Linked DNA regions of Macaca mulatta. The protein of the gene in region 1 binds, or shares a complex with, the protein of each later gene. Links are inferred from orthologs where the notes say so. Each region holds a gene or a part of one and is shown in the gene's direction. Other genes may lie near its edges.

Region 1 (5,186 bases):
TCGCCCAGGATGGAGTACAGTGGTGCAATCTCGGCTCACTACAACTTCTGCCTCTGGGTTCAAGTGATTCTCCTGCCTCAGCCTCCTGAGTAGCTGGGTCTACAGGCATGCGCCACCATGCCCGGCTAATTTTTGTATTTTTAGTAGAGACGAGGTTTCACCACGTTGGCCAGGCTGGTCTAGAACTCCTGACATCGTGATCTGCCCACCTTGGCCTCCCAGAATGCTGGGATTACAGGCGTGAACCACCTACCCAACCTTAATAAGGGTGTTAATTAAAAAAACAAGCTAGGCACCTAGGGTATAAAATTGAAGGAGGCTCTGATTCTCAGGGCCACGCAAATGCAGGGCTGGCACCTATGAGTGTGGCCCTCCTGAAATGTTGTGCCTTAGGCACCTGGCTCTCCCTAATTCAGGCCCTCAGGAGAAAGCCCTAATTCTGGTCAGTTCGCAACAGGAGGACACGGCTTCTGGGAGACACTCGGTGCTCCAGAGAGAGGCATTTGGTCCGTTCTCTTCCTCTGGACGTCACCGTGCCGACATGAAATGCTTCCAATTGCGTCCAGCCTAGGATGGAGCGGGGTGGGGGGGATATCTGGTGACATTACGAACTGCTGCATCAACTCCCCCGAGTCCCTGCCTCTGGACCCCCGAGAGAGGACACAAGGAGTGTCCGGAGCCCATGTGACTCAGTGTCTCTTCCCATCACTTCGCGGGAAAATGGGGCTGCTTACACCGCACCGCAGCCCAAGCACCTGTGGCTGGAGAGGGGCTCGGGCGCCAGGAGTGAGGAGCCTGGTTCTGGGCCCGGGACCGGTACTAGTTAGTGGTGGGACCTGGAACAAATGGTACTAGTTAGTGGTGGGACCTGGAACAAATGGTACTAGGTAGTGGTGGGACCTGGAACAAATGGTACTAGTTAGTGGTGGGACCTGGAACTAATGCTTTGCTTCTAAGTGAATCCCTCATATTCATGACAAGAGGCGTGGAACACAGACCCATGGGGCCTTCCCACTGGAACATGGAGCTTGGCTGTCACCCGACTTCGCTTCCTGAGGTAGAAAAGCCCAGGGTTCCAGGCTCTGTCTCCTTTCCCGCAGACCCCTTGTTTCTTGGCGCGGAGGCCCTGGGCCCCGCAGGCTCCCACCCACTTCTCTGGGCTCAGAACTTCTCTGGGTTCAGAACCCGATCCCGAAGCGGCCATGGTGCTGCCGGTGGCCGAGGCCGGGCGCGCGCCTTGGGAACCTGGCTGGCCTCAGGCTGGCGGGAGCATTCGCGGACCTCGCCCTGGGCCGGGAGGACTGGGGGACCCTGGCCTGCCCCTTCCCCTAGCCCTGACCTCGGCCACCACGCGCTGGTCCCGCCAGGCTCCGCCTGAAGGCAGAAAGCGGGGCGGGGGGGGGGGGGCGCCCGATCCTGCGGTATAAAAGCGGTGTCCGCAAAGGCCCTAGTGGGAGTCCGCGGCGAGCGCAGCAGCAGGGCCGGGTCCTGCGCCTCCGGGATCGGCGTCCAGGCTCGGAGCGCGGCACGGAAACGGCGGCGGCGCTGGACCAGGCGGTAGGTGCGGGCGTCCCCGCGCAGGGCGCTGCGGGTGGCGAGGCTGGGTGCGCGCCTCGGGAACCTGGCTGACCTCAGACCGGCGGGAACATTCGCGGACTTCGCCCTGGGCGGGGCGAACTGGGGGGACCCTGACCTTCCCATGTTCCTAGCCCTGCCCTCCGCCACCGCGCGAACGCGCGCGCCTCCCAGGATAGTCCCGGCAGGCGCAGCCCCAGTCAGGCGGCTTGTCAAGTATGGGAGGAGCCTAACAATCCCAGACAGTTTAAAAGGCGGTGCCCGCCAAGGCCCGAGCGGGAGTCCGCGGCGACAGCAGCAGCAGCAGCAGCAGCAGAGTCACGTCTTGGGCCCTGGGGATCGGCGTCCAGGCTCGGAGCGCGGCACGGAGACGAGGTGGCAGGTGAGGGCGTCCCCGCGCTGGGCCGGGGTCGGGAACGGGAATGGCGAGCTTCAGGTCCCCCGGCTGCCACCGAAAGATGAGACCTGAGGACAGGAGAGGTCGCTCATCCAAGAGCCCCGGGGAAGCGGTGGTGTCTCGGCGGGTCAGGAACGGTCTCTGGGGGGTCCCCTGCAGCGCGCAGCCGGTTTCCGCCTCCGCAGCTCCCCGCCAGCGCGGACGCCGCCCTCCCCCACGCCTCCTCGCTGCCCTTCTCTGGCCGAAGCTCTCCCCTGCAGCCCCTCCCCACCTGCCAGCCCTGTTTTCTCACTGCTCCTCTCTGCTCTGGGATCCGCAGGATGACGTCTGTCCCGGTACTTCTCTTTCAAAGTCACCAGTCTCCAGTTCCAAATCCGAGCACTCTTACCCATCCTAATTCTTTCAATAATTCAGCGAAACGGATGGGGCCCGTCCTTCCCCGGAGCATATTTCCAGGGACTGTGAATCCGCGAAGCCAGGCTCAGCCGTCGCCTGCAGGGCCTGCGGTCTGTGGGGACCGCCAGCAAGATGAGGAGTCACCTTCGGGACGAACGGTCGTGCTGGGGAGGGTTGCGCCGGCGGGGTCAAGGGAACCTCCTTTAGGGTGGGAATCAAGCCTCCAGGCCGCGGTGTTTGAGGGTGAGTAGAATTAATCCCGTGATGGACATGGGGCCTTGTAAGGGGGACCAGGAGTTTGTGAAGAGGTGACTTTGGGAGGGGTTCAGGATGGCCAGAGGTGGAGGCTGTGACCTGAGCGAGGCTGGATCAAGGGAGGGGGCAGGTGGAGAAGAAACCGTTTTAACAAGGTGGCTTTGAGCGGATCCTAAGGGTTCTGGGAGATTTAGGAGGAAGGCCAAGAGGATTAAGACACCGCTTTCTGAGGATGTTGTGTGGCTGTGGCATGGTGGTGGCTGAGGGAAGCGGGTTGTCTTCATTGTCCAAGGCTCTCCAGTGCTTTGCGTGGCGTTTTGGGGAGCACACATGAGGTGTCCCGACAGTGAGGAGTGGCTCTAAGGTGAGCAGAGGCTCGGGAGGGGGCCTGCGCATTAGGCCAGGCACAGGATCCGAAGTGGAAAGAAATGTGGGCGAAATGTGGGCGTAGAGGGCAGGCCTTGGGGATGGGTGTGGGGGACGAGGGGGATGGAAAGGGGTCAGGGAGGTCTCCCAGGCTCACCTGGAGGAGTGAGGGTCTCATTTCCAAGGGCACTGGGAACTGCAGCCTGGGGGTGGGGGTTCATTTGGTTTCAGACCTGTGGCGAAGAGACCCACCCCCTCACATTCACACTTTGGCTTCCACTAGCTTCAGAGGTAGTACTAGCTCTTTGTTCTCGCTGGTTTTCCTTCCTCACCTTGGGCTGTTTCTTGCCTTTTCCATTCTGGTGTTCTGCAAGGACCAGTTCCTTCGTCTCATGTACCATCTACACTCATGGCTTTTGCTGGGAGTAATGAGTAAAGCTCCCAAATAGATGTTTCTGAGTTAGAGCACTGAAAACAAAATGAAGCAAAAACAATGCATTTCCAATCTTCCAAGATCACATGATGTCCAGAGGACAGTGATGGGCAATGACTTTTTGTCTTCCCCATTAGAATGCAAGTTCCACAAATGGAACACGGAGATTTTTATTTATTTATCCTTTTTTTTTTTTGAGACGGAGTCTTGCTCTGTCACCCAGGCTGGAGTGCAGTGGTGCAATCTTGGCTCACAGCAACCTCCACCTTCTGGGTTCAAGCAATTCTCCCACCTCAGCCTCCTGAGTAGGTGGGTCTACAGGTGTGCGCCACCACGCCCAGCTAATTTTTGTATTTTTAGCTTCATCATGTTTGCCAGGCTGGTCCGTAACCCCTGAGCTCAGGCAATCCACCCGACTGAGCCTCCCGAAGTGCTAGGATTACAGGTGGGAGCCACTCCACACAGCCAGAACAGAGATTTTTTATGTTTAATTCACAACCGAGGCTTCACTGCCTAGAACAGATGCTCAGTAAATATTTATTGAAGGAATGAATTCCTTTTTGTATCTCTTGTATCTATCACCAGATACTCTTGTATCTAGTACCTATTTGGCATACAGTAGAAAGCTTTGTTGAGTGAATAGCTCTGCCTTTCGTCTTTTTTGGTATGTATACATCTTTTAAAAAATAATGAATAGACTTTTAGAGCTGTTTTAGTTTACAGCAAAACAAAGCAGAAAGAAAATATCCCCTCCCACAAACATCCTGGACTGTATAGCCTCCCCTACCATCAACATCCTGCATTAGTGTGGGGTATTTGTTACACCTGATGAACCAACATAGATACACGGTTATAAAAATGAACCAATATGGATAAAACATATACATTATCAGTCAAAGTCCAGAGCTTGTTAGGTTTTGCTCTTTGTGTATATTCAAGATACATTTGACAAATGTATAATGAGATGTACCCAACACTGTAATATCAGATTCCACTGCCCTAAAAATCCCTTGTGCTCCACCTACCTATCCCTCCTTCCCTGCAAATCCCTGGCAACCACTAATCTTTTTTACTATCTCCACAGTTTTTCCTTTTCCAGAATGTCACATAGTTGGAATCATACATTATGTAGTCTTCTCAGATTGGCTTCTTTCACTTAGATTTATACATTTAAGATTGCTCCAGAATTTTTTTTTTTGTGGCTTCAGAGCTCATTTCTTTTGAGCCTTAATATTCCATTGTATAGATGTGCCACAGCTTATCTGTCCACCTATTAAATGACATCTTAGATGCCCTGAAGTTTTGGCAATTATGAATAAAGCTGCTATAGACATTCTTGTACAGGTGTTTGGGCGTAAGCTTTCAACTCATTTGGGTAGATATCAAGGTGTGGAGTTGCTTCATCTTATGGTAAGAAGAGCTTGGTTAAGAAATTGCCAAAATGGGCCAGGCGCAGTGGCTCACGCCTGTAATCCCACCACTTTGGGAGGCTGAGGCAGGTGGATCACGAGGTCAGGAGATCGAGACCATCCTGGCCAACACGGTGAAATCCCGTCTCTACTAAAAATGCAAAAAAAAAATTTAGCCAGGCGTGGTGGCGGGCGCCTGTAGTCCCAGCTACTTGGGAGGCTGAGGCAGGAGAATGGCATGAACCCGAGAGGCGGAGCTTGCAGTGAGTCGAGATCGCGCCACTGCACTCCAGCCTGAGCTACTGGGCGAGACTCCGTCTCAAAAAAAAAAAAAAAACAAAAATTGCCAAAACGT
Region 2 (4,526 bases), on another chromosome or scaffold:
TTGGTCTATTTTTTATTGTTATTTTAGTCATTTGAGGCCATTGTGAAAAATGCTGCTATGAATATTTATTATAAGCCTTATGTACTTATCTTTGTATGTTTGTATTTGTATGTGTGTTTCTCTTGACTGTACACCTGTGAATGGAATTACTGGATGTTAAGGTAAGTAGATATTGAATTTCAATAAATAGAGTCCCAAACCATTTTCCAAAGTGTTATACCGATTTAAGACTAAGACTTCATAGTTTCTTTTGTTTTTTGTCTTTTGTTTTTGTTTTTTGTTTTTTTTTTTTTTGAGACAGACAAGGTCTCACTGTGTCATCCAAGCTGGAGTGCAGTGGTGTGATCACGACTCACTGCAGCTTTGAACTCCTGGGCTTAAGTTATCCTCCTGCCTCACCCTCCCAAGTAGCTGAGACTGAAAACATGTGACATTGCACCTGGCTAATTTTGAAAATATTTTTTATAAAGATAGGGTCTCCCTATGTTGACTAAGCTGGTCTCAAACTCCTGGCCTCGGGTTGATCCTCCAGCCTTGGCCTCCCAAAGTGCTGGGATTACAGGTGTCTGTGCCAGGTCCAGTTTCTTTCATTTTAAAACAAGATTTTTTTTTTTTTTTTTTTTTTTAGAAAAATTAACTGCTCTTGAAGATATCTTAATATGGTTTTAGTATTTATTTCTGGTGACATTTGAAAATGTGCACTGCTCATATGTTTATATGCTTATTGGCCATGTCTTCCATTTTTTAATCAGTTGATAAGGAATACAAATCGGTAACAAAACCAAAGCCACTAAGTCAACCTGAAATGAGTCCTGCTGCACCTGCAGCCGTCAGAAATGATGTCACAAAGCAACGTGCTGCACCAAAAGTCTCTCCTCATGTTAAGGTAGGATGAGGAGAGTGGAGTGGTCTTTGTCCTTGTAAGAGCATCACTGTCACTGTCATTTCCCACATTGTTCTCTGTTCTTTATCTCAGAGCATGCAAATAAGGGAATTAAGGCCACAGTGTGAAAAGCACTCTGAGTCACAAAAACAGGAACTACCTCTGATTAATCAGATTAAACACCTGTTGAGCTTCTAATCTCTGTCAGGGCCTGGACACATTAACACTCTGTTATGGTTTGGATTCTATAAGACGAAAACTCTGAGATAGACAGTTGTTTACAGGAAGTCTATTTTAGAGCACTTTCAGAATTAGTATCTGTGAGGAAGTGAAAGGAGTAGAAGAGGAAGAATGTCAAGTCCAATATAGTTGCAATAGAGGCCTTGGCCTACCCCACAGGGAGCTCGGGAGCTGAGAATGCCCTTCAGGGCTCCCAAGACTGGTGGGGGAGTCTGTGGTTTGCACAGACCCAGGCTCTGGGTCACATCAGAGATCTATTGCAGAGACTCTTACACTCGGCCTGGCATGCCTCTGTTTGTTTTCCCCTGTATTTTCCCTTAGTTCTTGACAGCAAATTGCTTTTTAAAAGTAATGTAAAAAAGCCCTTTATACACCTGCATGGACAAGGTGAGGTGGCCCTGTTTAGCTGAGAGAGTAGTGCCTGAAGAGTCTCATTGATGAGAATGATTACTTTAGTCCTGAGGGAGCGGCAGGCAATATCGGAAAGGCCCAACACAGAATCCACCACACATGCAATTTCATTTCCTGTGAAGCAGGTGTTACACCATTTTATAGCTGTGTGAGCTCTAGAAACTGATTACACATACTTCATTCTCTTTGTCTAGAGGAGCCATTTCCTCTGGGTTTGGCCCAGAAACTTCTGGATTTTTCAGAAAACAAGGTTCAAGTATACATGGTGTGATTCCATCACCAGTAATGAAAATATGCATCATTCAGTCTGGAAGACTCAACTAAAGATACATGGACCAAAGAGGACTTTTGTAGTGGAACTCAGTGGAACTGACCTTTACCTGCATTGATCCAAATGCAGTCAGTTATACTGCCCGTCAGGGCCCCTTACTGGCCCCAGCTCCACTGGCCCAAGCTTCAGGTCACATCGGAGACAGCCTTCGAGACTCCTACACTTGACTTTTTATGCCTCTGTTTGTTTTTCCCTGTATTTCCATTTGGTTCTAGATGGCAAGTTGCTTTTAAAAAGTAGTATTTTCTCCCAAAACAAACCAAAAAAGGTATCTTATCTCTGTTAATTCAGAAAAATAAAAAACACAGAGAAGCGAATAAAATTACCTATAATTGTATCATCTAGGAAAAAAATATTGATGTTGGTAAATATCTCTGTAGTGTGTTTGTGTGTGTGCTTTAACTGCTTATTTATCCAAAAAGAAAGAGATTTTTTATCTGTTTAGGACCTTTCCCTTTATTGAGTCAGTTATAACAGTTTATCACATTATTTCTCTAAAGCATTTTTAATATTTGCATAGTAATCTATTTGTGACTATACCATATTTTGTTTAACCAAATTCTATTTTTTATGTATTTAAATTATTTCTTTTTTTATAATTTCAAATAATAAGATATATTTTTAAAATGTAAACCTTAGTGCATAATTCATTATTTAAGGGTAAATCCACAAATGTAGTATCAATTCTCCTTTTAAATTTCTCCTTTAACTCACTTGTAAGATCTCTGACCTAGGTCTCCCCCTTAACTCACATTAAACATAGTCTACATTTTGTTACGTACAATACCTCCCTAGGAATTTGGGGAACCCTGTGCAGGTCACTGAGCTCTCTCACTTTTATACCAGAGTAAAATGAATGTTTAGGACAGTGTTGGATAGAGAAACAAGGATATATTATGCCCGAATGGAATCCATAGAAGATGGAATCAGATTTATCAGATTTACCCCGAGGCTTAGCAATATTTCAGAAATCTGATGAAGTCTTTTTATATAGCACATGGCAAAGCAAGGATTTGGTTTTAGGGATCCTTCCTCCAAAACATGTTACACCGTCTTATCTGAATACAGGAGTTGAAATCTTCCTTCTGCACTCTCTGTTCCATCTAGATCATTCTAGGCCTCAAGTCTCTTCTTATCCCCTCTGTGTCTCTTCCCTTGATTCCACCTGTCTTCTGTGGCTTCCTGAGGCTTAGCACTGTGGGTGAAGGAAGGTCCTCTCAATAGTACCTTTTTGACTCACAGCTGATATCTTTCTTCTCTTGTCTTCAGCCTGAGCAGAAACAGAGGGTGGCCCAGCAGGAATCTATCAGAGAAGAGTTTCGGAAAGACTGTTTGCCAGTTATGGTACTGAAAGCAACAAAGCCCTTCACGTTTGAGACCCAAGAAGGCAAGCAAGAGATGTTTCATGCTACGGTGGCTACAGAGAAGGAATTCTTCTTTGTAAAAGTTTTTAATACACTGCTGAAAGATAAATTCATTCCAAAGAGAATGATTATAATATCAAGATATTATCAGCACAGTGGTTTCTTAGAGGTAAATAGCGCCTCATGTGTGTTAGATGCTAAATCTGACCAAAAGGTTGATGTCCCGCTGAACATTATCAGAAAAGCTGGTGAAACCCCAAAGATCAACACGCTTCAAACTCAGCCCCTTGGAACAATTGTGAATGGGTTGTTTGTAGTCCAGAAGGTAAGTTTTCATAGCTAATTTCATATTGATTAGTAAGAATAACGTATTTTCCATCTGATCTTAAAGAGACTTTAGAAAAGGTGTTAATGTCTATACAGACAAAATAAAAAAATACAAAGTTCTAAAGAGCTGCAGAGTTAACATGCCAAAATTCATACGAAAACTCAAAAATTGTTTTTATTGTCAAAAATGTCACAATCCTGTTTCAACTTATTCTTATCCCAGTAGCCTCTGAAAAAGGAATTAGTTCGTTCACATAGTTTTTATTTCTGCGTTATTTTTGTACTTTGTCCATATTATCTTTATTTTAAGTGACTATTGTTGTGATTGCAAAATAAGTGTAGTTGAGTAATCAACCAAATTAATTGACCTGAAAAACCAATATGCAAGTCAGGATTAAAGAACTGTGATTAAATGAAGAAAACAGAAGAAAGAGTTAGCTTGAGGAGACTTATTTATTTCTTTCTTTTTAATTAAAAGTAAACTTTAATGTCGAAAATGCAAACTTGGGGAAGACAGAAAAGATCACATACAAGGCTATCACTTCACACTTGGAAGGTTCCACAGCGGCTGGCGCTCCTCACTTCCCAGACGGTGGGGCGGCCGGGCAGAGGCCCTCTTCACTTCTCAGACGGTGGGGCGGCCGGGCAGAGGCCCTCTTCACTTCCCAGACGGTGGGGCGGCCGGGCAGAGGCCCTCTTCACTTCTCAGACGGTGGGGTGGCCGGGCAGAGGCACTCCTCGAGGAGACTTATTAGAAGTGAGAAATAATAAAGTATTATGACTCTGAGCTTCAGGGAACTAGCCTTGTGGAATGACTTTTTCTGGTCTAGGGCAGGACCTGAAGAACCGTAGAGAGGGAACCTGCTGCCCCTGCATTCAGAGCCTCAGAATAACCTCTGCTGCCCTGGGTTAGTTTTAGAAGGAATTGATAGGAAGACTCTCCAGTCCTCTTGGAAACTCAAGTGTAAAA
Region 3 (4,935 bases), on another chromosome or scaffold:
TGCAATCCCAGCCACTCAGAAGGCTGAGATAGGAGAATTGCTTCAACCTGGGAGGCAGAGGTTGCAGTGAACGGAGATCGCACCACTGCACTCCAGTCTGAGTGACAGAGTGAGACTCCATCTCAATAAATAAATAAATAAAATAAAGCTAGCCCTCTGGATCCCCATCCCCTACAACCCACTGCAGGAAACCTCAGTTTCCCCATTTGTAAAATGGGCAGAGAAGCAGAGGCTGGGCCAGCTGGAGTAGGGTGATGGTTTGATACTGGAATGGTGTTTAGGGAGGTTGGAAGACAGGTGCCCTACTAGGTGCTGTGGCTGCAGTGACCAGAGGGCCCCGGGCAAAGGCCTCCCCCGCAGTGGGAATGCAGAGATGGGCTGGGGGAGAAGAACCAGCAGGGAAGCCAGAGAGGGAGGAGGAAAGCAGAGGCCCCGGGAAAGGAGTCACCAGAGAGCGGCCAGGCTGGCGAGCCCAGGGAAGCATCTGTGGGGTTCAGCGAGAGGGGTCGTGGTGACCTTGCGGGGGTGGTTTCTGGGAACCAGGGAGCAGAAGGGGTCTGGGGAGTGGAGGAGGTGAGACTCAGTGTGGATGGTTCTTCAGAAGTTTGGGTGGGAAAGGGCAGAGCCAGATGACAGGGGCTGGGGCCAGGCTGGGAGCCCCCATAAGATTTCAACCAAAAGTGGGGGCCAGTGTTCCAGTGCAGTGGGAAGCAGGCAGCAGAGGAGAGAGGAGCTGAATCCCAGAAGACACTGGCGTCCAGATCAGCTGGGCAGGATCAGTGGGGCAGACCCACCAGCTGGTGGAAAGACGCTTCCCAGGCAGCCCAACAGCACGTGTGGAGGTGTGGTGGGCAGGCACAGGCTGTGCGCCTGGGATGGTGTGGGCCGCTGGTGGGAGGTCTGGGGAGGAGGGTGAGTCAGTCTGGGGGTCAGGGCTCCGGGCCACTATCCAGCTGCTCCTGGCTCCAGGCCTGTCTCCCTTTGACCCACAGTCTCTGCCACTGCTGCCGGCCCAGAAGCTTTGTTTGAAGCAAGAATGCCCAGTCCAAGAATTCACCCCAAGGGGGATGCCGCCCAGAGAATCTACATGAAATCATGCTTTCTCGAGGATGCCACCATCGGCAACAGCAACAAAATGTCTATCAGCCCAGGGGTGGCTGGCCCAGGAGGAGTCGCAGGGTCTGGAGACAGGCAGCCAAGGGAGGACGCAGGTGAGCTGGGGTACCGAGTGGACCCCTGTGTGTTCTCTTTCTCTCCCCACCTTCCACTCATTCATTCATTCATTCTCATCAATCATTCGCTAATCTCTGGTTTCCCAGAGTCTGGAGGCAATGCTCACCCATAGCGAGGAGCAGCAGCTCTACAGTCAGAGCTCGAGGCTCCGTCCGCCTAGTGGAGGGGCCCACCCAAGTCACTTCACCCGGGAGCCTCTGTCTCCTTAGCTGGAAAGTGGGATGGTAAGAATAGCCTGAAGCAACCCCTACAGTGGTTGCAAGGCTGAGATAAAATCTGAAGGCAGAGCTCAGCCCTGCACCAGCCCTGCCAGCATTCAGGAGATAGGAGTGTTATTGCTGTCATGATTGTTTTGGGCCCAGAAAGGTGCTGGGTTGCCATGCAAATAAGGTTCTGCATCAGGGCACAGGCTGACCTGCCGCAGCAGAGACGCCACACATGGTGGCCCCGCCTGCTCGAAGCCCAGGTCTCATGTCTGGGTGAGGGTAGCAGACCAGGGATTCTTTTCCCTCAGGGATGAGTTGTCCCTGGGGCTCTATCCTCATCTGTGGGGTTGAACTTGGCACCAGCAAGCAGAGGGGCAAGACAGGGTACAGAGAGCCGCTGTTGTCTTTGACCAAGCCCACCCACCGCATCTGCGCTGTTCCGAGGGCCAGCACTTAGCCACGGGGGATCTGGGAAGTGCCGCCTGTGTCGAGGCAGCCTAAGCTCAGCAGAGACTGAGGGGAGGGGCTCCACTGCCAACAGGAAGAGGGGAGAGGGGACACCAGCGCGGTTCACCTTCCCAGCCACAGTTCTGCCCCTGGAAGCTGCACAGGCTGGTTGCAGAGCCCGAGGATCCCAACTCTGCAGAAGGGAGCTCGGGGCCTGGGGTAGGGGCAGCTGGAGAATAGGGCAGGTCCATACAAGGTGGATCCATACAGGGCAGGTGTACCTGGTGGGTGGAACAGTGTGGACAATGGCCTGGAGGTGAGGACATGACAGTACAGGAACCCACAGGGGTCTGAGGGTGACCTGAGTGTGGAGAGCAGAGCCAGGGTCTAGCTCCAGGCGGCAGTTGATGCTAAGGCAACTGGGAGCCATGGGGGCCTTAAGCAGGAGAGGGGCAGGATGAGATTTATGCCTCCCATATGAAGAAAGAATTAGAAGGAGGATTTGCACTCCTACCCTTTTGGGATCTGGAATAAGGGGTCACACCCAATCCCACCAGTGGGTAGAAAACGTGGATTCACAGAATCTGGAGGATTGGCCAGCATCCACCTTCCAGTGCCTGAAGGCCCAGGGGACGCATGTCCTGGAAGTCCAGAGGCTCTCCTCACCCCAAGGGCCATGTCCTTGCTGTCCCGGCACACTGAGGAGACCCTGGCCCCACGTGCCTTGCCTTCAAACTCTCCCTCCAGGACCCCTGGGAGCCCCATGTGACACCTGCGGAACGGGGGCCAGGAGCACAGGCCAGGAGCACAGGCCATGAGCATCTGGGAGCACGGACTCCCTTCCAGCAGCAAAGGGAGTCTCAGAAACCTCCAAGGCCACTGGGCACCCCCAGGAGGGCGTGTGCCACCAGTCCTCCATCCCCCACCTGGCTTAGGACCCCACAGCACAGGCCGTCTGCAGAACCCTGTGGGTCTCAAGCCAGACCACTGAAGACTCCTTTTTCTGGAAAGAACACAGCTCTGTGTTGTTAAAAAATGACCACACGCCCAAATTTGTCCTGCCACATCCTGACATTCTTCTCTGAGGTTCCAGCAGAGGAGCTGATGACATTCTTACCCCTTGTCCTGACCCACCCACCTCTCTTTGTCGCCAAGAGACATCTATAGGCATAGCTCAGAGATATTATGGGTCAGCTCCAGACCACCCCAATAAAGCAAGTCATGCAAATGTTTGATTTCCCAGTGCACATACAAGTTATAGTCACACGAGGCTGTAGTCTATTAGGTATGCACTCAATCACATTGTATCTAAAAAACAATGTATATACCTTAATGTGAAAATACCTTATTGCTAAAAGTGCTAAACATCATCTGTCTTCTGCCAGTCATCTTCTCTATGCTGGTGGAGGTCTTGCCTCGATGTTGATGGCTGCTGACTGATCAGGGTGGCAGTTACTGAAGGTTGAGGCAGCTGTGGCAATTTCTTAAAATGAAGTCCAACAATGAAGTCCACTGCAGCAATGGACTCTCCCTTTCACGAAAGCTTTCTCTGTAGCATGCAATGCTGTTTGATGGCATTTTACTCATACTAGAACTTCTTTCAAAATTGGAACCAAGCCCACCAACCCTGCTGCTGCTTTACCAACTCGGTTTATATAACAGTCTAAATCCTTTGTTGTCATTTCAACAATGTTCGCAGTATCTTCACCAGGAATAGATTCCATCTCAAGAAACCACTTTCTTTGCTCATCCGTAAGAAGCAACTCATCTGTTCAAGCTTTCTCATGAGATTGCGGCAATTCGGTCCCATCTTCATATTCCATTTCTAATTCGAGTTTTCCTCCTATTTCCACCACATCTGCAGTTGCTGTCTTCACTGAAGTCTTGAACCCCTCAAAGTCATTCATGAAAGTTGGAATCAACTTCTTCCAGACTCCTGTGAATGTTGATATTTTGACCTTCTCCCGTGAATCACAAGTGTTCTTAATGGCATTTAGATTGATGATTTTTTCCAGACAATTTTCAATTTACTTTGCCCAGATCCATCTGAGGAATCACTCTGTATTGCACTTATGCCTTTGTAAAATGTATTTATTGAAGAATAAGAAGTGAATGTTGAAGTTACTCCTTAATCCGTGGGCTGCAGAATGGATGCTGTGCTAGCAGGCATGAAAACAACATTAACTCTTTTTTACATCTCCATCAGAGCCCTTGGATGAACAGGTGCATTGTCAATGAGCAGGAAAAAAACAAACAAACAAACAAACAAACAAACTTTTTTTTTTTTGGCCTTTAGCCCAGGATCCTGAACACCCAGCTCCTGTGGTATGGACGATGAGCAGTAAAATGTTCAAAGGAATATTTTTTTCTGAGCAGTAAGTCTCAATGCTAGGCTTAAAATATTCAGTAAACCATGCTATAAACAGAGGTGCTGTCATCTAGCTTTGTTGCTTCATTCACAGAACACAGGCAGAGTCGATTTAGCATCGTTCTTAAGGGCCCTAGAATTTCCAAAATGGTAACTGAGGAAAGGCTTCAGCTGAAAGTCACCAGCTGCATTAGTCCCCAACAAGAGAGCCTGCCCCTTTGAAGCTTTGAAGTCAGGCATTGACATCTCCTCTCGAGCTATGAAAGTTCTAGATGATATCTTTTCTCAATAGAAGGCTGTTTCGTCTACATTGAGAACCTGCTCTGTCATGCAGTCGTGCTCATCAATGATCTTAGCTAGAGCTTCCGGGTAACCTGCTGCAGCTTCTCCATTAGCACGTGCTGCCTCACCTTGTACTTTCACGTTATGGGGATGGCTTCTTTCCTTAAACCTCATGAACCAACCTCTGCTTACTTCCAACTTTTCTTCTGCAGCTTCCTCACTTCTCTCAGCCTTTAGAATTGAATAGAGCAAGGGCCTTGCCCTGGATGAGGTATAGGCTTCAGAGACTATTGTGGCTGGTCAATCCTCCATCCAGACCACTAAAACTTTCTCCACACCAGCTGCAAGGCTGGTTCACTTTCTCATCACTCATGTGTTTGCTGAAGTAGCACTTTTAAT

Evidence for each region. Proteins that work in one complex are often made in the same cells at the same time.
Region 2: RIPK1 (region 1) and AIM2 share a complex: the UniProt entries of both Homo sapiens proteins name them as parts of the AIM2 PANoptosome complex. The link is inferred for Macaca mulatta from reciprocal best matches to the Homo sapiens genes RIPK1 and AIM2.
Region 3: RIPK1 (region 1) and ZBP1 share a complex: the UniProt entries of both Homo sapiens proteins name them as parts of the AIM2 PANoptosome complex. The link is inferred for Macaca mulatta from reciprocal best matches to the Homo sapiens genes RIPK1 and ZBP1.

What each region holds. Positions count from the first base shown.
Region 1 is NC_133409.1:180,192,051-180,197,236, reverse strand, and holds the start of RIPK1 (receptor-interacting serine/threonine-protein kinase 1), read left to right. Parts: upstream 1-1,699; coding exon 1,700-1,957; exon of another isoform or gene 1,958-2,040; intron 2,041-2,157; exon of another isoform or gene 2,158-2,291; coding exon 2,292-2,307; exon of another isoform or gene 2,308-2,480; intron 2,481-2,687; exon of another isoform or gene 2,688-5,186. Other genes in the region: uncharacterized protein LOC144340588, read right to left, coding at 1,162-1,701. UniProt on the Homo sapiens protein: Serine-threonine kinase which is a key regulator of TNF-mediated apoptosis, necroptosis and inflammatory pathways.
Region 2 is NC_133406.1:107,857,642-107,862,167, forward strand, and holds part of AIM2 (interferon-inducible protein AIM2), read left to right. Parts: exon of another isoform or gene 1-161; intron 162-752; coding exon 753-886; intron 887-3,134; coding exon 3,135-3,554; intron 3,555-3,990; exon of another isoform or gene 3,991-4,303; intron 4,304-4,526. UniProt on the Homo sapiens protein: Sensor component of the AIM2 inflammasome, which mediates inflammasome activation in response to the presence of double-stranded DNA (dsDNA) in the cytosol, leading to subsequent pyroptosis.
Region 3 is NC_133415.1:110,408,657-110,413,591, reverse strand, and holds the end of ZBP1 (Z-DNA-binding protein 1), read left to right. Parts: intron 1-992; coding exon 993-1,211; intron 1,212-2,633; coding exon of another isoform or gene 2,634-2,704; exon of another isoform or gene 2,705-3,750; coding exon 3,751-3,998; 3' UTR 3,999-4,160; downstream 4,161-4,935.